Linked DNA regions of Drosophila melanogaster. The protein of the gene in region 2 interacts with the protein of the main gene of each other region in a pairwise test. Each region holds a gene or a part of one and is shown on either strand. Other genes may lie near its edges. The genes, in order: CG8851, Sec23, CG14830 and pasi2.

Region 1 (5,856 bases), on a different chromosome or scaffold from region 2:
AAGCTAAAATCATATGTTCGGATGGCCATGGGTTGGTTGGAAATCGCATTGCCTATTGCGATGGCGAGAAGTGGAGCACCCAGTTGGGATCCTGCGCATTAAGACGCCAGACGATCGATGTTTCCTGTGATTTCGAGAGCGAGGATATGTGCGGCTGGACGGCGGAATTGAGCTTCTTGGGAACTTGGAAACGGGTCAGTACGGTGGCCGACTTTCACTCTGAGAAAACGGGTCCCCAAAAAGATCACACGTTCCAAAACCAATCCATCGGACACTACGTGCGCATGGAGACGGAAAGCGATGCTTTTGGAACCTACCACTTCCTATCGCCACTGTATCCCAAGGAGCTCAGTTTGAGTGGCGCCTGCTTCCAGTTTCACTACTTCATGTTCGGCAGCGGAGTGGGTAGCCTGCTGGTGTCCATAAAACCCGTTTCGGTGACTATAGGAGACATATTTAAAACAAACCAGTGAGTTGCTTACTAATTATCTTATCTAGAATTAAGTTTGCCTTATACAGCAATATGATTTTTTAGTCCCTACAAGTTCGACCAATTCGTGATGACTGGATCACAAGGTGCCAGGTGGCTGGAGCACACGATCGATATCAATAAGATGGATGAGGACTTCCAAGTGATCTTTACCGCCACGGATGCGAGGTCCCAATACGGAGATATTGCCATCGACGACGTGAAGCTGATGGCAGCTAAGGAATGTGCCAGGAGGTCTACCTTCATCGAGGAACCAAAAAAACCAATAGAAGAATCGGATATCACGGATTCACTGGGCTACCAAATGACCGACTGCTCTGGTCGTTGTGGTCAGGACTTTGTTCGGGGAAGGTACATCAATGAAGGGTGTCGATGCCAAGAATCATGTCTGGTGAACGGCAATTGTTGCCTAAATTATGTCAAGGAGTGCCATAAAGATCTGGTCATAGCTCCGTATAATGAACTCAAATTCTGGAGGCTTTGGAATCTTTGGAGCGGTGATAGTAATGTGACTGTCGTACCTAAATAAGTTCCTATCCCAATACATTTAACCGAATCATTAAAAGTACTTTTAAAAATGAGTTTACATAATCATTAGAGTGAAATAATTGGTGGCTTAATAAGGGCTGATAATGTCCAGGCAACTTGATGGCATAGTCCAAGTGCTGGGAGCAGTACCTTCAAGTTGCCTGGACAGCTGATGAGCCCAATCTAGTGCCTAGGTCTAGGCAGTCCAGTCCAGATCCCCGTTTAGATCGTCGCCTTCAGAGTTCGGGGGGCTGCAAATCGACCGTTGCTGGTTCCCTGGGGCAGCTGATTGATCCTGATCAGACTGGGTCGATGGGAACCACCTGATGTCAAGTGGGCAATGCCAGCCGACCCACTGCCAACGATGCCCGTGCCACCCTGATTCGTCATGGAGTAGATGTGCCGCCGGAGAACCCTTATGTGTTTCTGCGAGACCTCGAAGTTGTGGACCAGGGTGTGGAGTTGCGTCTGGAGCTCAGCTATCAGACTATCCCGTTCCTGGATCAAACTGGACGTCGAGTTTTGGCTCCTACTCAGCTTCAGTTCGAGGTCGTAGATCTTCTTCTGCAGATCCCTGCGCTGCTTTTCGCTCTGCTCGCGATGGCGGGAAAGTTGCCTTTTGCTGCTCGCCTGGAGCTGCTCCAGCTGATCCTTCATGGTGGACAGCTCCTGGGTCAGTTTCCGCTTCTCCGTCTTCAAGGCCGAGTTGTAGTTCTTAAAGATCTTCAGATCCCTTTCGGCGGCCTTCAGCCGGTTGATGGTGACCAACTTTCGGCGGCCCAGTTCATCTATTTTGACCTTCAGCTGCATGGCTTCCTGTTGGAGGGCATGAAGTTTATCCGCCAGCAGACAATTTTCCCGCATTACCGTCTCGTACTTGGAGTGCTCGTCTCGCATCATCTTCGGCAAATGGGAGACACTTTTCAGTTTGTTGTCTATCTTGGATCGCAGACTGTCTATGTCATGGTAGATGCTCGACTCCAACTGCTTGTTATTCACGTGCAGCTTCTCGATCTCCTGCTTCTGGGTGCTCATGATGTCCTGGGCTTTCACACACCGCGTGTGGTAGTCCGATATTCTCTCCTGCTGCTGCCGAATGAGAGTTCGAAACTGGACCTGCTCGCTCTTCAGTCCCTTAATGGTGGTAAGGAGCTGGCTTATATCTCCAGAGTCCCTGTCCCTGTCTCTGTCCCTACCTCGATCCCGTTCATGCTTGTACTTCTGATCCTGATTAAGGAAGAAGGTTTAAGTTTTTATATTCCATTTAGCTAACAGCTAATTCATACCTGTGAGGTGTTGATCACATCCTTCAGCACATTGTACACATCCTTGAAGGATGCTGGCTCCCTTTCCCGATCGTCCTGCTCCAAGGATCTCTTCCTGCGCTTCACGTGACGGTTCGCCAGTGTTTCCACAATACGGCTGTCAAAAACGCTGTTCACCTGTGATGGCAGATCGTCCTTGTGCCGATGGTGATTCTGCTGATGAGTACTCCTTTCGGACGCGTATTTCTTTCTATCGATTTCGTCGCAGGAACTCTGGCCCGATAGAACGGTCATGAAACTGGTATTGCTGCGCAGGATTTGGGGGCTCTTTCGTCTGATGGTCGTCTGCGAGGTGACACTGCTGGCAGAGCTATAAAATCCATCCGGATCGGGCTCACTTCCCAGATCCATTTGCTGGGCCTGCTTCCTGCTGGACACGAACTGATCGTGCTTCTGCTGCATTTCGCACAGCTCGTAGTTAATTTTCATGTACTTCTCCTCCAGATCCTTGGTGCTTTCGTTGTAGTCCTTGAGCTCCTGCTTGTACTTGCAGAGTTCCTCCTTTAGCTTGCTGCCAAGGGCTTCCGAGTCTGGCAACCTCCTCTTCGAGCCCAAACCCTTTCTGTAATCTTCCGGCTCTTCATCACTCATGATTAGGCTGACCTCCTTACCTTCCCTGCTGTTCTTGGGTAATTTTGTTATACTGGGACTACAGTGGTCCCCGAAGTCCAAGCTACTGGCACTTCTCGTATCTAGTACTTTGGAGCTCGGCCTGGAGAGGCTGACATAGCTACTCTTTTCATTTTCATCTGCCTGATCTTCGTTCTTCTCATCCAGCTCGAAGTCCAGTCCCATTGAGGTGTTACTAGATGATGTTCCTTTGCGATTCTGTGGACGGAATCGAAGTGATCGTTGTCTGTTGGCTAATGGTCGCCTGGATGGCTTTAACATCTACGAAAATTTAGCCTATTTGGTTAATGTTGCACTTGTGTAATTTTTTGCACTGTTTTTGGCGAACAGAGAATTTTTTTAAAAACCTTATGTGACACATTCAATTCCCAAAAATATTAATTTTACGTAGGACGTGACGAAAATTATTTGATAGAAAATTGGGCGTTACGCCTACTCGAATGGCATTTGCCTTCTGGAAAATATCGCTGTTCGAGGATTGATTATATCCTTAAGGTTTATATAATAGTTTTAGATAATAAACCACATCTCCCAGTAGAGTGATAATTTATATATGTATATTCCTACTGATTGCCCTTTAAATTTCCCATTTCACCGTAAAACATTTTCATACTTTTATGTTAGTAAAGGATACAGGTAGATTCTCATAACATATTTTCGAATAGATTTAAAATTATTTATTAAGATATACCATTTCCTTCAAGTCGCACTGTGTTTTGATTTTGAACCAATTCAAGTAGCGGCAGTAGTAAATATAGTTGTTTGTTTCGCCGAATAGATGCCTCGATACACACTCCTCCCGAAGGACACATTCCTGACCATCCTGGGAGGGAGGACTCCGGTAATCCACCTCGACAAAGCAAGTCCTCGATCCCAATCCAGTTCTCCGGGATCTTTCGTTCGATTCTCCCAAGTCGAAGCAGGCCATTCCAAATCTGTTGCCAACTGCCCAGGGCGAATGTCCGTGGATTTTTCAGTTCATTTTATTCGATCACGAAGAAAACAACTTATTCTTCCCAAAACTTGTTTCGAAATTTTTTCAGAGTATGTGTTAAAATTTTCGCAGAATATACGTACCTTAAAATCGTTAGTAAATCTAGCCAAATATAAAAAAAAAAAAAAAAAAATTTTAACCATACAATTTTTGGCCGCATCGATAAGTGAATCTAAATCGCGATGGCAGAGAACACAGAGTACACCGATGAGGGCGGCGAGTACGAGGACGATGAGAACCAGTACCTTGGCGAACAGCACATGATGGAGGAGGGGCCCGACGAGGACCTCTTCTCCAAGCTGGGCGAGTCCTCCGACGATCCCGAGCAGAAGCGCATGTACATGGAGTACCTGGCGCTGATCAAGGAGATCGATTGCCAGAACAAGATCATCCAGGACATCAAGAGCAACATCATGGACATGTGCGCCAAGCCCTGCAAGACCCGCAACGAACTGCGCGAGATCAAGCGGTTGAGGATTTGCATGGAGCAGGAGAACATTAAGCTGCACACCATGATGAACAGAGCGGTGCAGCTGCAAAACTTCGGCTCCCATCGGCACTACAAGGAGCTGGCCATGACCACCACCGTCGACGAGGACAACCTGTCACCGTATATGTGTGGCATCGGTCCTTGTGCTCCAGCTGGCAGCGCCACGGATCCCTGTAGCGAAGAGCCTAGCTCGTGTGCCAGTGTTTGTGGTGGCGGCGGAGGCGGTGGAGGTCAACGGGACATGGCTGGTCAGGACGACAAGTTGATCTGCGCTCTGCAAAAGGCCATGCAGAAGATGAAGGGCGCTTGTCCTGAGGACAAGAAGATGATCGAAGAGATCGCCTGCGCTATAATGAGCTGCAAGAAGCAGCCGGTATGCGTTCCGGGTCCCTGTCCGCCACCACCCTGTCCGGGTCCTTGCCAAGGTCCTTGCCCGGAGAGCAGCAGCAGCAGCATTGCCCCATGTCCTCCTCCCTGTCCAGCCAAACGGAAGGCTCAGAAGGCTCCCTGCCCCCAGCCCCAGCCCCAGCCACCGGGCAAGTGCGAGTCCTTGGAGAAACTGAAGCGGCGCATCCAATGCATGCAGACCTCGGTGAAGAAGTTGCTCCAGGAGGTGAGCAATCGGGATGCGTCCGAACCCTGTGACGTCGACGACGATGACGATGAAGGAGAGGAGGACCCCTGCTCCAGGCCGTGTCCTCCCAGGCCGCCGTGTCCCGAGGATCCAGACCCACTGGTCATCTGCGGCGGAAAGCGGAACACCAAGGCCGACAAGTACGAGAAGATGAAGGAGAACTACACCAGGCTGCTAACCGAGTTTCAGCGCAAGGACTGCCAGATGAAGGAGATGCAGAAGCGAATGAAGGGTATCTGTGGTCCCTGTCCATCGAAAGGGGGCGACGGGGATGCCGATGCCGCCGAGCTGAATCTACTTCGAGCGCGGGTCAACGAGCTCAAGGAGGAGCAGCTGGAGTTCAAGTGCATCATGAAGGAGCAGTCGCAGCAGTTAGAGGACTACCGCAACAAGTACCTGCTGGCCCAGCAGAAGGTCGAGGAACAGTGCGTCTCCCTAGAGAAGCTGAACATGAACAACAAACGAATCGAACAGCAGATCAACACGGAGGTCAAAGAGATTCGAGCTAAGTTCCAAGAGAAACTGAACGAGTTACTGCACTTCCCCAAGCTCTTAGAGAACGAGCAGCTGAAGCTGGCCCAGGTTTGCAAGGAGAAGGATGAGATGCAGACGAAACTGGTGGTGGTCTGCAAGGAGCTCAAGGCCTGCAAGACGCAGATGGAGCAGCAACCCAACGTCGATGTGCGACCTCAGCTGGCCCAGTGCCAAATGGAACTGACTCAGGCCAGGAATGAACTGGAGGAGCTTCTCCGACAGAGGGATCTC
Region 2 (6,574 bases):
AGTTGTTGTCATTGCGGTTCTTGTTGCTCAGGAAGTTTGACTAGGATTGCGGGATGGGGTGGCACTGTGGGAGGTTGGGTGGTTCGGTGGGTGGCTTCGCTTTCCACATGCCTTGACACAGCGCACACAGTGGTGCCCCTTACGGGTTCATTTTGTTGTTGTTTTGTGGTGGGCATGTGCTTAGCAGATCTGGTCGTCAGGTTTTAACTCTTAACTTGTTTGAAGGCCACGACAACGACTCTTGGCAACATAACCTCACTTTGTTGACAATAAATATACACACTTAGAGGTAACGTAACGCAAGATATGGATGCGGTTTCGAGGGAACAGGGTTTCTCTACTCACGTTGGTGTTTGTCGGCCAATTGCACGAGCGGATTGGGCAGATCCCGGCGGCGGTAGAAGCACATGACCTTCGCTTCCACATTGCCGGTTTGGTTTTTGTTCAGCTCCTCGATGCGTCGTATTAAGTAGGGACTGTTCGGCGTTGTCTCAACGTAAACATAGTCTGAAAAAAAAACAGTTTTTGAGGTGGCTGATGCAAAAGGGTCAGAAAAGGGCATGGAAGGGTGGGGGGCTGCAACTCCATTAATACGTCACAGGTAAGCGCACACATACACCTATACACGCATCCACCTAAGTGCGACCACCACTACCAGCTAAAGCGCAATTAAATACATATGGGTCTATCCATCCATATAACTTTATACCTACAACAACTGCAGCGGAACCTGTCGTTGACTATTATAAAAAATAAAAGAAATTCCGTTTATCTGTATGTACATACATACATAGATACAAACGTCGTGTGCACTTCTGCTACATTTTGGGATGCAGATACACAGATAGATGGGTAGATAGATGAAGAGAGATGAAAAAGAAAGTGTGGAGGCAGCGAGAAAGCATTGCCGAAGGTGTGTAACTGTGTGCGTGGCCATTAAAAACGGCTAACAAAAAACGCCGATGGAGACAAAAAGTTCTCGGCGATAAAGAGCAGATAATTCGACAAGTATATATGCCATTAATATTTATTTTGATTCCGTTAATTGAAAGCTTGCGTATCCGACCGAGCTTATTTGCATTTCGAAAGAGCACACACACCCACACACTTGCGAAAATCAGGTGAAGACAACACAATAACGTCACCGCTCGAGCGCGAGCGAGATGGCTAACAGAAAGTGCGTCAGGCAGGGTGAGGAGTGGGAGGCGTGAGATGGGGGGAGATGCTCAAAAGCTCATTAGCATATGAAAACACAAAAAGGCGGGTGGGCGGTGAGCCCAAAAGTGAGATACACTTTCGCACATAGTCAAACAAACACACACGCTGGAGAGATCACAATTCGGCAAAACCAAATCCAAATGCAAATGCAATTCAGTTCCCCAGCCCTAGAATACACACACACGCATACACTTAGGGCATAAGTTAATGCTTATCGGTTGGAACACGTCGAAAACACTTGCTGCAGCTGCGACACAAGAGCAGCAGGGGGCTCCTTCAAAGAAGTTAAAAAAAATAGAAAAGGTCTCTCCTTTTCGACGGATTGTTCTTGAGATTGATAATACACGCACACACACACACATACACGTGCGTCGGGTCTCCCACTAAAGGGTTTTCGGCAATTAAAATGCACTTTCGTTATTGTTGGAAAGCCTCCTCAGACACAACACACACGCATACGCACACATTGGACACACACACACATATGCAGAAGCGAACACGCACACCGTGAAACGGCGGCGCCGATAACGAAAGATGATAGAAAAGCGAGTACGCGAAAATTTTTCTCACCTCCGACTCGATACATATTTGTGGCCATTTTCACTACGCTACCGCACCAAAACTTTCACATGCAAAACACTCGGCACACGCTTAGCACTGTTTTTCAATGGTCCTGTTCCAAACTAGCGCACATTTATTAGCAGAAAACTCGAGTTGTTATGATTGCATTTTTCACATAAGAAGACGCGTTTTTTTCGTCGCCATCTTAGAAACAACTCAACTCTAAAAAATACACGCACACACACACAATGCCGAGTAAACAGCTGCACCAGGGATGCACTCCACGGTGCGATAGTTTGGCCATCGATAGCAATCGATACATGGGGTGTTGGGTAAAAACTTAATGTTAAAATTTAGTTGGGGCGATAAGAAAAACGATAAGGGGCTTTTCTAGGAATACGATTTATATTTATTTATATTATATATACTTCTTGAATAACAATATATATCATTAAGAAAATTAACTGAAAAAATTATGGGCGAACCTTGTTTTATTTATCATTTTCAAAACATATTTATTTTCACCCTTTTTTTCTCATATTAAAACATTCATTCAATCGCATGGGGCGCATGCGATAGTATCGCTTGAAAACTGTCTTCCCTAACATGCAACGTTTGCACTTAAAATTCTGTAATAGTTCGTAGTCTAGGTTTCTACGTTTTGTACGTTTGTATAAATTGTTTCCAGAGTGAGTGCTTTGATTTGAAGAGCCTCTTAAAGACTCATCTCGCGAATTTGTTTACTTTCGCGTGAGTATTTTGGCCGTCGCCAGCACGAAAGGTGTCACGACTCGCTGTCAATCCGTGACGTGGCCTGACCGACCGATTTTTCCAATTGGCAGAGGTCTAACAGAGGTTTTTCCGATTTAAGTATTACATTTAAGTGTTCCGGCGATGACCACCTACGAGGAGTTCATCCAGCAGAACGAGGACCGCGACGGAGTGCGGCTGACGTGGAATGTGTGGCCCTCAAGTCGCATCGAAGCCAGTCGGCTGGTGGTGCCCCTAGCTTGTCTTTACCAGCCTTTGAAGGAGCGCCCCGACCTACCGCCTATTCAATATGAGCCGGTCTTGTGCACTCGCAGCAACTGCAGGGCCATCCTGAATCCACTGTGCCAGGTGGACTACCGTGCTAAGTTGTGGGTGTGCAACTTCTGTTTTCAGCGCAATCCGGTGAGCTCAATGGTGATCTTTAGACTCTCTGCGGCAGTTTATGACAGTCATTATTCCAGTTTCCCCCTCAATATGCTGCCATTTCCGAGCAGCACCAACCAGCGGAGCTGATTCCGGGATTCAGCACTATTGAGTATACTATTACACGGGCCCCCACCATGCCGCCCGTCTTCATTTTCCTGGTTGACACCTGCATGGACGAGGAGGAGCTGGACGCCCTCAAGGATTCGTTGCAAATGTCGCTAAGTCTGCTGCCAACCAACGCTCTCGTGGGTCTGATAACCTTCGGAAAAATGATACAGGTGCACGAGCTGGGCGCGGAAGGCTGCTCTAAGAGCTATGTGTTTCGTGGTACCAAGGACCTGACTGCCAAGCAGGTGCAGGATATGCTCGGAATTGGGCGTGGAGCGGCTCCGGGGCCGCAGCAACAGCAGCACCTGCCCGGCCAGCCGGCTGGAGCGGCGGCCCCTGTGCCGCCCGCCCATCGCTTCTTGCAACCGATCGGCCAGTGCGACGCGGCGCTGGGCGATCTGCTTAGCGAGTTGCAACGCGATCCTTGGCCGGTGCCGCAGGGCAAGCGTTACCTGCGCTCCACTGGTGCCGCCCTATCTATTGCGGTGGGCCTGTTGGAGTGCACTTATCCCAATACGGGCGGTCGCATTATGACCTTCGTGGGTGGCCCTTGCTCCCAGGGCCCCGGCCAGGTGGTCGACGACGAGCTGAAGCACCCGATTCGTTCGCATCACGACATCCACAAGGACAACGTGCGGTTTATGAAGAAGGCTATCAAACACTATGATGCTTTGGCATTGCGGGCAGCCACCAACGGGCATAGTGTCGACATATACTCGTGTGCCCTGGACCAAACCGGACTGCTGGAGATGAAGCAGCTATGCAACTCCACTGGCGGCCACATGGTCATGGGCGATTCGTTCAACTCATCGCTCTTCAAGCAGACATTCCAACGCGTCTTCGCACGTGATGGTCGCAACGACTTGAAGATGGCCTTCAATGCCACGCTGGAGGTGAAGTGCTCGCGCGAGTTGAAGATCTCCGGTGGCATCGGCTCGTGTGTGTCGCTGAATGTGAAGAGCCCGTCGGTGTCGGATGTGGAGATCGGCATGGGCAACACGGTGCAGTGGAAGCTGTGCACATTGAATCCCAGCTCCACCGTAGCCTACTTCTTTGAGGTGGTCAACCAGCATGCAGCCCCCATTCCGCAGGGCGGGCGTGGCTGCATACAGTTCATTACGCAGTACCAGCACCCAAGTGGACAGCGGCGAATCCGAGTTACCACACTGGCCAGAAAGTATGTGTTGGCATAAATCAGCCCAGAGTTTACTTACGTGGTTCAATCTGTTTGTTTTTCAGTTGGGCCGATGCCACCTCGAACGTGCACCACATCAGCGCTGGCTTCGATCAGGAGGCCGCCGCAGTTCTGATGGCCCGTATGGTCGTCTATCGTGCGGAGACTGACGAAGGACCCGACATTCTGCGCTGGGTCGATCGTCAGTTGATTCGTCTGGTAAGTTTTCAATGTGCAAAATTACTCGTGCCCAATTAATTAGTATTGTAAATGCTTTCCTTTTACAGTGCCAAAAGTTCGGCGAGTACTCAAAGGACGATCCCAACAGCTTCAGGCTGTCGCAAAACTTCAGCCTATTCCCGCAATTCATGTACCACCTGCGCCGCTCGCAGTTCCTGCAGGTCTTCAACAACTCGCCCGACGAGACCACATTCTATCGACACATGCTAATGCGCGAGGACCTCACCCAATCGCTGATCATGATCCAGCCTATTCTCTACAGCTACTCGTTCAACGGCCCTCCAGAACCGGTCCTCCTCGATACGGCTTCCATCCAGGCGGATCGCATCCTCCTGATGGACACGTTCTTTCAGATTCTGATTTACCACGGCGAGACCATCGCCCAGTGGAGAGCCCTCAAATACCAGGACATGCCAGAGTACGAGAACTTCAAGCAGCTGCTGCAAGCACCGGTGGACGACGCGCAAGAGATTCTTCAGACGCGCTTCCCCATGCCTCGCTACATCGATACGGAGCACGGCGGATCCCAGGCCCGCTTCCTGCTGTCCAAGGTCAATCCCTCGCAGACGCACAACAACATGTACGCCTACGGGCAGGTGAGTCTCGCAGCCAGCGCCATCAACTGGCCACATTTGATTGATCTTTGCAGCGCTCCATTTGGCGTCATCGAAAATTTAATCTCAATCGAAATCTCAATCTCGTTTTATGTTGGTTTTGTTTCTCTCATTGTATAATCCGTACCCGTATCCGTAACCGCTCCTTTGTCAATCGCAGGCGCCCATCGGTCAAGTCACGGTAGTACATATTTGTTTAATTTTCAACTTTTAAACTGGTGGAAAGGTGGATATTTGAAATTTAAGGGGCGGGTAAAAAATCTTTGGAAATTGGATATGTCCTTTGCTCTTGATAGCTATAAGTCCAAAATAAGTGTTTTGGATTTTGCAATAAATCTAAGATGGCCAACCCCACACGGCTTAATCTAAGCAAAGATTTTGTCTGTTCCTATTTTTTCATATTGTTTTTAATAATTTCAAACATGATTTATATATAAGTGGCTTTTGGTGTTGGACCCTTCTAGGTGCTTGTATCCCTTTTTCATTCATCCTCCCCTCCCCACTTGGCACGATCCCACCCACCCATCGCATGACTAATTTTCCGGACATTATCTCGACAGGATGGCGGGGCTCCAGTGCTCACGGATGACGTTTCGCTGCAGCTGTTCATGGAGCACCTCAAGAAGCTGGCTGTGTCCACCACCACATAAATCGACTCTGGCTCTAGTTTCAGGCGCTTGCTTCCCTGGCGAAGTCGAAGAAGGCGAACGACACCTGGAATCAATGGTCCAGGCAATGAAATTACGAATATACAACCACTTATTCCAATTGATCGTCTTATAACGCAATAAACTATTCAAATTATGTTCAACAATAAGTGTGTTAATCCGCGATGCTTTTATTCGTAAGCAGCTGAATTAGAATTTACGTTGAGCGGAATGAGTTTGTAATTATAAAAACAAGGCATTAACAAAATGAAATGAGCATCTCTTTCATTCTTCATAACAACTATTAATACAAGTAAATCCGACGGGTTCCTGAAACCTACAAGATTTGTAAAAATTATTTTTTTGTAATATAAGACAGCAAAAGATTTATTTATATTTTTATCATAAATATTTGATCAAATTTCCGGACGCATTTAACTTTTAGATACCAAGCAATTGGTTATATTTTTCTGTATTTCTCTAGCACCCGTGATCAAACATATGCATTTTTTGTTTAACTTGAATGAAATATCTTCGATAAGCTTTGGGCAAATTACTCAGGTTTAAAAAACTTTGCGACACTTTCATTTTCATTCATTAAATTGAAACTTCTAAATGGTTGGAAAACACAACTGGTATAATAAGAATAGCAACCACTGCTTTCAAATCATTAGAGTTTTCAGTAACCCGCCGGAATGCCTCTCGACTAACTGCATCCTAAACTATTTGGTACACACTGACTAAGAAGGTCGCTCTTTCCTCGTGATTGCCGCATCCAGCTAGCCTAGTTGAGAAACCGTATGGACATCTTCTGA
Region 3 (5,334 bases), on a different chromosome or scaffold from region 2:
CAGTCTTTTTTCAGCCATTTTAAGCACATGACGTACGAACGACTTTGCCACTTAAAGGGGTCACCTTAAAGCGATCCTTTGAGACGATACATATGTAAGTGTACATATGTAGATGGTCTCATTGTATTTAAGGCACAATCTAAACTTTTTCACGACACTCACGACTGAGAAATCTGTGCAGTTTTATGCAACTTTTATGACACCAGCCGAGGACGAAAAAACTTTTTACGACTTGCAGTGCCAAAGAACAAACACCAGACCTTCTCGAGCTGCGCCTGATGCGTAAAGTCAACAAAAAGTAACGAACGAACTACTACGAACTACTACTACCCTAAGGAACCGAGTGAGGGATTTAACAAAAAAAAAGTCCATCCACCTCTGCACACTGAATGTGTGTGCAAAAAAAAAAGTGCTGGCAGGAGAAAAACCTGAAATAGACAATGCACAAAGTATGCACAGGATCCTGTTCGTGTCAGAATCAAAGATATCCAACTTAGAACAGGACGACATTCGCTGTACGGAGCAAATAAAAAAATTAGTAAGGATTTGACACGCTGGAGATGGTGAACAAATATTTCACATATCTCTGTTTCAGAGGAAAGTTAAACAACTGCTGGTAAGTACACTTTTCAGTCCAGTTGGAAGCCATATTAAATGAAAATTAAATTTTTAAATAATATATACATTATTTATATTTTTTCAAATTATAATTGCAAAATAGAAAATAAACTAATGCTAACTGCGCAAACGGAAGTTGCACGAAAGTTGTTTGAAAATTTCGCGCAATATTTTCACACAAATGCATACAATGTACGAAAAATATGGCATGTAATATTTTTTTTTTACATGACTGACTATTTTGAATACCATTCAGCGTATAAATTGCAACCTTAAACGTTTACAGAGAGAGGGGGATGTGCGGGGAAAAGTGACCCAGAGAGTTGGGCCTCTGGCCCCATTATCGATGCCACTCATCCTAATGACATGATGCAAATTAAGCCCCCAACTTCTGCCGCCAGCCAACATGACCCCCAATGCTCCAGCCAGCAGTCAAAAGCATTGCACAGTCACGTGCGGCAGCTGGCCAACAGCGGTGCCTGTCAGCCAGTGGAGCCTAATGTAGTAAGCCCCCAATACAGTTCACCTCCCTGTAACCCCTGTAACGCTCCCTCACTACCACAACCAACACCAACTCCTCCCACCACCCACTTTACCTCCCGGTGCACTGAAAAAATATTCATAGGGAGATAATGTGACAAATTATAAGCAAGATGATTATATTTTATGTTAAAGTAAAAGTATCAAAGTCTATGATTTAAATAAAGATAAAAATAAAAAACATCTTTTAAATATTTTCTTATAAAACTAACCATAAGTTTACTTATCATACCACCACCAAAAAATTCTAAACTTCTATCTAAGAATTTCATAGAAAGAGAATCTTTCGTCACCTTTTTTTTCTCTGTGTGCGAATGCAGTGCACGTGTTGCAGAAGTTTCGGTTAACGGTTATTAAATGCAGTTTTTGCAGTTTGACAACAAAATGCAGTCGCCAAAAGTGCAAAGTGCAGATGGTGGAGACCGGCACGGCCAGGCCAAGAAAGCCACAGAGAGTGAGAGAGATGGGGAGAGTATAGTTGGGAAAGAGCCCGAAGAGTCGATAGTGAGGATTGAGTTGGCCAAGAGCGCAACCGGTTCGAGACGCGTTTTAGACCAGTTTAGACCACTCTCACAGGTGCTGGAACATTGTCGCAACTCTCGAGCGATCAGTTTGAGCCGTGATCGCAACGCGTTCGCTTCGATTTTTCCCACCGGACCACGGTGCATTTTGCAATCTCCGCGATTGCCAAACAAACAAAACAAAGTTTTACTCCAACGAAAAAAAAAAAAAAAAATCTGAGATAAATAACGCGCAGCAAAAGCAACTATTTTTAGCGGATTACGTGAGTGTCATTTGAATTTTTTCGACGTGAAGTATACGCCCGATCTGTTGGCGAGAAAAATAAGAAAAAGAAAAGAACAAACAGAGTGCTGGCCAAATTTGCTCGCCATCTGTATGTGTCTGTGTCTAAGCCAAAGTGTGTGCGAGTGTGTTTGTGTGTGTATTTGTGTGTTGGCCAGCTCCAAAACCTGCTGCTATTATTAGCCTTAGCCAAGATTATGGGCGATTTCATTATGGCGCTGCAATTTGCTGTGCCGCCGCAAAAAGCGAAACAAAAATGTAAAACAGTGCCTGGGCCAAGAAGATTTGAGCCGAGTTAGACGAGTTCCGATGTCTTGGCCATTGTGTTTAGGCCGCCTCGCACCGACCGATTCGAGCCAACTTGCGAGAAGCTGCAACGCCTTTCATTCATTCATTCATGGCGGCGCTGGCGATTATATCATTCCGTGTATTAATGTGTTGGCTGCCATTTTGGTCAGAACTAGTAAAGGTTTTTGGCCCACACACACACACACACGCGCACAAGCACATTTGCAAAGCGTCAGCGGCGACGATGTCATCGCCTTCATATTTCCAATTTACATTAATATTTTTCTCCACACAACCAAATCACATTGGCAATGTTTGTTTTCTCGATTTTCGGTGCAGCAGCAGCCAAGTGAAGTGTAATGAAATGTGTACAGCGGCCAAAAACTAACAACCTGTCGCATTGGCTGGCAAAAAGCGTTAACAATAAATAAGCGAAACAATACCAACAGCACGGCCAGTTCAACTGTATAACAATGAGGAGAGAAGGTAAGCCAGTTTTTGTATTTTTATTTATTTTGTAGCCCACAACCATGCCGCGGAATACATTCCCATATCTCTATATATGTATATATGTATATGAAGGGAAGTTGTGTGGATGCATAGACGAGAATACAGAGAGAAAAATCCAAGGACACATGTCTCATATCTAAATTAGATCATCTGAACATAAGCTAAACTCACTTGAGAATATAAATTACAATCAAATTAAAACGAAGTGCTTAAACTTTTAAGTGTGTTCAATACTACTACAATATGTTTAATGATTTCGTTTTTAAATGACTTAGGATCAAGCTGATTTATAACTAAATATTAAAATTCATCTAGTATTTTCATCTTATTGTAGTATTTTTCGGGCACATCAATTTTTCCAGTGCATGCTCAACTCGCTTATTTGCCAACAATTTGCTTTTTGGCGCAGTGTAATTGCATTTCGAGCATCTTAAGACTGCCATCCACCTTCAGTTTCAATTTCCGCAAAACGTTGAACCGAACTCAGCTTTTGCCTTTGCGTGGGTGGGTGATTCCATTGATTACGCACCGGTTGACCCTGAAAGTATCAGCCAAATGTTGGCTGGTACACTGGCCTTATATGAGCACGATTTTCGGTCTTTTGTCGTTCAGTTTGTTCGCCTTTCGATGGCCGCAGGAGGAGTGCTTATGTCATTTGTCAACGGACCAAAAATGATACTCGCTACCGAAATCCGTTGGAAATTCGAGTGAAAAGGCCACTCTTTGGTCATTTGGCAGCAAGACTGCAATCTGGGGAATTGCCTTTAGGCGATAGTGAGACCAGTACAAATGCCAATACCAAATGGATCAATGAGTGAAATTTAATGTGCTTATATGCATTTCATTTATTGCTTTCACTTTTCGCCCGAATGTGACAATCGTGATGGCAAAAGGCATATCGAGGAAATGCTTTGACATAAGCCCTTATCCAACCAGTATTATCATTAAGCTAGGAAAAGCGTTTTCAATGGGCTTATCTATATGGTGTATCTGCAGCTCCCATAGTTACCATAGTTCAGATATGAGAGTAAAAACCCCCCATGTAACTAACCCACTGTGCATAACAGAACTTGCTTTTGGTTTTGGTTTTGCTTGTTCAGTTGGTTGGATTTTTCTTCGGCACTATTTCTTCGTGTCTTCGCCGTTGGCCATGTTTATGCTTAAAAGCCAGCCATGCTTAGCACGCTGGCCATCCAATAAAAGTTGCAGCTAGAAATTCAAAACCAACGCCAGCGGCCAAGTGTTTCTAGTTTTTCTCTTAGCCCCCTTGTTTTTTTTTTTCTTTTGGTTTGATGACAATGTTTTGATAATAATGATAATTTTCTGTGTCTCTTATTGTGCTGGGGTTTTTTTTTCGTTTTTATTTTTTATTTTTGGTTTGGGGTCAACATGAAGTTATGAGTTTCGTGATTGCGCCGAATTCGGTAACAATTAGAGTTTTGGCAAAGATAGCTTTTCAGCTATCAGCTAAAAACCGATGCTCATGGTCAGCAGCGTAATTCGCAAGATACAGGGAAAGTTACGTAATCCTGCTGCGGCTGTTGCGGTTCAGCGCAGACAGGTTTTAAACGGCCAATTTGCAGCTGCACACGGTGCGTATACGTGTTAAGCGAGAAACTAGCGATTCATTGACTCCAAGCCACAGTAAAATTTAACCGAAGAGGGTATATACCCAAATGTATATATGCAAAATACTCATCAGAAAACACAAATCAATCAAAGCTAATCACTTTCGGCACGTTGGTTATATAAAGTCAAGTTACTATACACAAATATGCAAAAAAAAATAAATCAACTCCCAGCTTTCGCAGTCTTACTCATTTTTCGATGTTTGCGTGTGAATCGGAAAGACAACTAAAAACTGAACCTAAAAACCAAACCAACTATTATGCAGGTACGAATTATCCAACCAACTGCAACTTTCATCTGACATTTGAGGCGACTGCATGCAATTGAAATCTGCAAACCAACAGATGACTTGGTGATGGTGATGTCATCATCACATATATGTAATTAATGTCTCGTGTTGCTTGCACATTCATTGCGTGCAAATTATACGAAAAAGTATCCGACATTCAAACATTCAGACATTCAGGCATTCCGCGGTTGCATTCGTGCTATATAAATCAGCTATCGACTCGCAGATCGATGCTAAGTTGAATGCTTATTGAATCAATGATGCCAACCGGTTTTGGCTCCGATTTCTGATTTCTGATGGCTGATTCGATTTTTTAGGGTATCAGTTAGAAGCAAATTATGGGTTTCATTAGACTCTGAACAGCTATTTCAAAGGCCATTACTGGCATTCTTATTATATTGTTTACAACGCTTATGCATAATTCTAAAGAATATTGACTGGTGAAATTTAATTGCCAGCTTTAGGTTGCTAAACATTTATTCAGAAATATATATATATATATAATTGCCTAAGAGCATCTTAATAACTTTTAAAAATCTGTATTAGAAACTAATACTATACTTCTTCTCTAATTCCCACAAGTTTCAGCCCCAAATAAATCCTATCACATTTCATTTGGCCTGGGAAACAATTAGAAGTGGATAAACAATAAACAA
Region 4 (5,129 bases), 3.7 Mb from region 2:
GCGCAGCGGGCACCTGGGTAGCTGAAGATGGCTCTTGGTTAGCTGTGGCAGCTGTAGCCGCCTGCCGTTGACGTTCAGCCAACATTCTGTATTCGTCCTCGATTATGCAATTCTTGATTTCCTCGGCGCGCTTTGTGTAGGACAAGGCACGATTGCGCAATGCCAGCCGCTTGGTGGCGTCCGTCTCCTCCGTGATAAGCGGCACAAAATACTGCAGGGCACTGCAGTACAGATAGTAAGCCTCCTTGTAATTGTGTTTCTCATCGTATGCGCATGCTTGCGTGACCAAATCAATGGCCTTTTGCAGAGTGTGCTCCGTGGGAAACGTCTTGAGATCGAGAAAGGGATGCGCAAAGAAGTCTGCAAACGAAATGCGCGCCGTGGGCTCGTGGGCCAAAAGGCGGCGCAAGAGATCATGGCACTCGTTGCTGATCCGAGCGTTTGGTGGCAGTGTTATGGCCTCGGCCTTCCTAATCCTCAGCAATAGCTCCTCAATGGTTCGCGAACTATACGGCGCCTTGCCGAATAGGCATTCGTAGAGGATGACCCCGATGCTCCAGAGATCCGCCTTGGCATCGTACTGATGCTTGCGCACAATCTCTGGGGCCATGTAGAGCGGCGATCCCTTCAGCTGTTGATTGATTTCGCCTAGTTTGAGGTGCTGAGCAAACCTACAACAAACTAGAATTATTAGTATAAAGTATCTATTGTAATGCTATTTGGCTAACTACCCAAAGTCTGCCACCTTCAGGGACACATTGTTAGCTCCCCGGGTAAGCAGCAGGTTCTGTGGCTTAAGGTCGAAGTGGGACACATCGTTGGCTCGCATGTACTGCACAGCGGCAGCTAATTGGCGCAAAAAGTAGCGACAGGTGCTCTCCGGCAATGCCTTCTTGGTTCGTATAAAAGCGGATAGATTGCCGGCATTGCAATACTCCAAAACGATGTAAATATTTCTGAAATAAAGTAGACATTGTAGCATTCTTAATTCTGTTCATTGCTAGTATGTTTTCTAACGAAAATCGATTTCAATTAACTAGTTCCGCTGAATTGGTCAAAACTGGATGATTAATTGTTGGAACCCGTTCCTTGTAACTGAGTATGTCTTGAGTAGAATAAGTGTACAAAACTATCATTTGAATTGAAGAACTCTAAAGAACCAAACGTTTTTTATGTACATATACATAGTAGGAGTAGAGCTATAGAGGATTGTTAGCTAATCCTGCCACCATGTCAACTCCTACATATATGCTAATCCTTCTAGAAGGATGAACATCGACTGATTGCATGGAACGATGTCATACTTGTCGTCCCAGAAGAAATCCTGCAGGGTCACAATGTACTTGTGCTTGAGTTCCCGGAGGAGGCGTATTTCGGTGATTAGGTTTTCCCGCGAGGTTTGCGACAACGTCGACATTTCCACATACTTGATGGCATGATAAGTGCGCTGTTTCTGCAATGACAAAACGTAAATATTAAGACCCTTTGCTCTATGTGATGTGTATGTAACTGGTGTCCCACTTTGTGCCGCGCTTTGTACACGGTCGCATAGCTGCCCGCTCCAAGTTTCTCGAGAATTTCAAAGTCCGTGATCCGCGGCAGTGACATGTTGGGCCGGTCATCTAGTTCTGATACCAAATATTTTTAAAATTATATGTTTATGTTTTCCATTGGTCGATTGTTTTCGCTCTCCTCTGCTCACACACACACGCGCGCGCAATCCAGGGCTTCGCAATTCTTAACGATATCACAGTGAAATTGCTGAAACAAATCGATAGCAATCAATCGAATTTAAATCATTCGGCGATATAAAAAATTTGATTTTGTTGAATATATAAAAAGTTTTTACTCAGGAATCAGAATTAAAATGTATATATGATTTAACTAATCCAGCAGACATAAATGAAGTTCGGTTATGTTGTTTTATAAACATGGCAATAACTTCAAATTTACAATGAACCAAATCTATATTATTTTTTTCAATTTTATAAGTTTATGAACTGAACGTCTCGTAACCATATGCATCTCAGTTATGAATACCAATTTAATCATTTTTCTTATATCCTATATTACATTTAAACTGATAAATAAACAGGCGCCCAACTGCACAGCTGATTAGCCAATGCTGACAACATCGATAGCACTTGTTGCTCTATCGGTATTTGCTACTTTTGCTTATCGCATCCCTGGAAATATCTAAGCCCTGATTCGTATGTTTTGTTTTTGATGCGTTGCGTGGTGATTAATATTTCGTTTTTTTGGGGTAAATAAATGCTATGGTATTTCAATTATTGTTTTTCGGAGCCTCTGCAGATACTGCAACAGTATAACATAAAAATATATGTAGTTAACCACCTTGGAAAGTGTTTAAAACGCGGCTAAAGTCTTCGAAAACGTTAAGCCTTGCTTGACACACCCAAAATACACAAATTAAGCAAACACGCCCTGGTCAATAAACGAAAATCCACAGAACTCGCTTACTAACGGTTATGTTTCAAATGTTTTAGTAGCTGATTAAAGGATTGATAAAGGACTTGCCTTCTTATACACGTGACGAGACTTAAAAGGCTTCATGATGAATTACGGTAGGAAAACGCCCTCCACATATCGGTCCAATCCGTCGGTTTATTCCCATGCCACGGGAAGGTAAGTTTCCCTTATAACCTTTATAGTAATATGACCAAGCTAATCTTCTATATATAATCTTCTAGATCCTCGACGAATTTACACTCCAAGATGTCCCGATCCACGCGATCCGTCAGGATTCCTTGGTACCAGCGACCGTTGCTTAAAAACAATCAGTACATCGATATACAGAAGGGTGCCATGCTGGTCGGATTGTTTGCCATTGTAGGAGCGGAAAATCCTTATTGAGAAAGTTCTTTTTTGTAACACAAAACTCCCTTGCAGTTTCTGTCCCTCTTCACCATCGCCACGAGCATCTTTGACATCTACTGCTATGCTATGGCTGCGCCAGGATCCACACATTATGGCTACTACATCATATCCTATGAGTTCGTCTATGTGGGCAACAAGCATGGTGAGCTTTATGGGGGTATCCTTCGATTTTAAATCGAATTGGAATCGTATTCTTCGATTTTAAATCGAATTGGAAATCGTTGTTTTAACTTGAAATATCTTTTCATAACCCACCTGAATTATTTGTAGTTCGCAATATGCTCATTGTCTTTGCCCTGTTCTCGCTTATCATGGCGCTGATAAACTTTGTGACCAGTGTCCTTCTCTGCGTGGCTCTGCGCAAGGTAAGTTAGGGCTGGAAATCTTACAGATTTTGCATGCAATTCATTTACATTTCTCATTGCCCGAAAGCATAAAAAGCTGGGAGAACAGAAACGCTTACTGAGCAAAAGGGTAACAAACGCATTCTGCACAGTCATAAAGAAGAAATTAGCACAAAATGCAAACAATTGGCATACAAGTTTTTTTTTGTTAAAACCCATTATAATATATGATTTTTATAATACTACTATAGGAATACGAGAGGAAGGTTATGCCATGGCTGTGGTCCTTTGCCATATTTACTGTTTGGCGGGCTTTGGCACTGATCTTCTTTGCCATTGTCAATGATCTGTACTTTGCCTACAATGTGATTATGGTGCTCCTTTGGACCATTTTTTGTGTACTGTCTATATATGGATGGGCCGTGGTGTACTCTCTGTTTTTGGAACTGGTGGATCTGACCAAGCTGGAGGATCTAGCCCATTTACGCGTACGTTCATTAAGTTATCATATCTGAAATATGACTAATGAGTATAATTACCTTTCCAGATGGGCACAATGGCTTCCCTGCACGCATCGACAGCAAACTCACTTGCAGGATCACGGCCAACCACTCCTCACAGCACCGTGTCCACCATGCCCGTGGGCTAATAAAAGTATTTGCCATCCATCTATGGGGCTCACAACGAAATTGCACAATCTAGACCGTCCGAATGCAGCTCAAGATAACCCTGATGCTTCGCACTCAAACATTGCTTAAACTATAGTGTACATTCCATCCACCAGTTTAGTGCCTTAGAGATGCGCCTCTCGAATACCACAAATTTTAACCGCGAATCAGCGTAATTAGTTGTAAGTCTATTCCGTCCAAACGCATATGTTTTTTGTATACTGTTGAAGAATCGCTGTCTTTATGTATGAATGTCAAAATATCGTGTTTTTTATATTCATATATAGATGTACAACCCGAATTGTAGCTATGTATCTAAAATATTAAGCGACAAGCAATATAAAAAATACGAAACCGAAAATATGAGTCTAATGACACTTCAGTTGGGTCCATTTTCGGGCGTTAACCAAAAACGCCCACATTTGACAGCAGTTCATCTGAACTCATCTGCGTCAAGCGAAAAAATGATATGTACGATAATCTAATTCAAAGAAATTCCTTAAACTTTATTGTTTTCTATATGCAATTTCAAATTAAATCCTTTCAAAAATTTTCCGAAGAAATGTATCTTTAAAGTGCTCTTTTAAAAGTTCAATAGATGCTCAAGTCTCAACCTTATGGCAAAAGTTAATCTGCAAGTTGTTGGGATTTTTGAAATTACCAAAGAATCGAAAGGGGATCCCACTATGTGCATCTGGAATTTCCTGACCGCCCATCAATCTTGGAAGCACAATTGCTGGGACTTGTTTGCTGCGTTGAGTGTCAGTGCTCTGGTCATTAACACCCGAAATTATTAGCCCCACACCGCAAAGTGGGGCATTTCAAGTACACACGGGCACAAACATTCGCCGTGGGATGTGCGGAGGCCAAACAAAGTTCAATCAACTGTTTTTGTTAATCATTCCATGGATGACGACAACTCCGGCGATTTCGTAGTACTATCCACATACGCATTTGTATGCGTGCTTCTATTTGCTTGGTGGTGTCGGTGATAAACCCCAAGCTCGAGCTTTCCCACCCTATGTGTCACACACATTTTCCTATGCTGAATATTTTCTAAGAGCATTCTGCTTTCCTCATTCAAGTGGGGTAATTTGAACAATTGCATTTGGAATTCAGCTGGAAAACAAACTACGTCATCGAGTGGCGATTCTTTGTGGCCTTTGTGTGCTTATCTTATTCTTAGGGCTGAAACGTTTATCTTTTTTGATTGCCATCT

Evidence for each region.
Region 1: the proteins of Sec23 (region 2) and CG8851 interact in a two-hybrid assay, tested with the Drosophila melanogaster proteins (one large-scale study listed by BioGRID).
Region 3: the proteins of Sec23 (region 2) and CG14830 interact in a two-hybrid assay, tested with the Drosophila melanogaster proteins (one large-scale study listed by BioGRID).
Region 4: the proteins of Sec23 (region 2) and pasi2 interact in a two-hybrid assay, tested with the Drosophila melanogaster proteins (one large-scale study listed by BioGRID).

Annotation. Positions count from the first base shown.
Region 1 is NT_033779.5:3,517,757-3,523,612, reverse strand, and holds CG8851 (uncharacterized protein), read right to left. Parts: upstream 3,937-5,856; 5' UTR 3,902-3,936; coding exon 3,665-3,901; intron 3,392-3,664; exon of another isoform or gene 3,235-3,391; coding exon 2,305-3,234; intron 2,246-2,304; coding exon 1,241-2,245; 3' UTR 1,058-1,240; downstream 1-1,057. Other genes in the region: Sr-CIV (scavenger receptor class C, type IV), read left to right, coding at 1-469, 536-1,019; CG3213 (uncharacterized protein), read left to right, coding at 4,150-5,856.
Region 2 is NT_033777.3:5,646,709-5,653,282, forward strand, and holds Sec23 (secretory 23), read left to right. Parts: upstream 1-2,356; 5' UTR 2,357-2,529; exon of another isoform or gene 2,530-2,650; 5' UTR 2,651-2,673; coding exon 2,674-2,952; intron 2,953-3,011; coding exon 3,012-4,261; intron 4,262-4,323; coding exon 4,324-4,477; intron 4,478-4,545; coding exon 4,546-5,094; intron 5,095-5,272; coding exon 5,273-5,296; intron 5,297-5,672; coding exon 5,673-5,762; 3' UTR 5,763-5,921; downstream 5,922-6,574. Other genes in the region: MTA1-like (metastasis associated 1-like), read right to left, coding at 346-507, 1,789-1,816; elm (ethanol sensitive with low memory), read right to left, coding at 6,544-6,574.
Region 3 is NT_037436.4:7,260,351-7,265,684, reverse strand, and holds the start of CG14830 (uncharacterized protein), read left to right. Parts: upstream 1-1,764; 5' UTR 1,765-1,942; exon of another isoform or gene 1,943-2,053; intron 2,054-2,589; 5' UTR 2,590-2,736; intron 2,737-5,334.
Region 4 is NT_033777.3:9,332,990-9,338,118, forward strand, and holds pasi2 (pasiflora 2), read left to right. Parts: upstream 1-2,180; 5' UTR 2,181-2,263; exon of another isoform or gene 2,264-2,507; 5' UTR 2,508-2,572; coding exon 2,573-2,646; intron 2,647-2,711; coding exon 2,712-2,850; intron 2,851-2,910; coding exon 2,911-3,040; intron 3,041-3,168; coding exon 3,169-3,263; intron 3,264-3,493; coding exon 3,494-3,730; intron 3,731-3,789; coding exon 3,790-3,891; 3' UTR 3,892-4,470; downstream 4,471-5,129. Other genes in the region: Aduk (uncharacterized protein), read right to left, coding at 1-671, 732-956, 1,305-1,453, 1,522-1,608.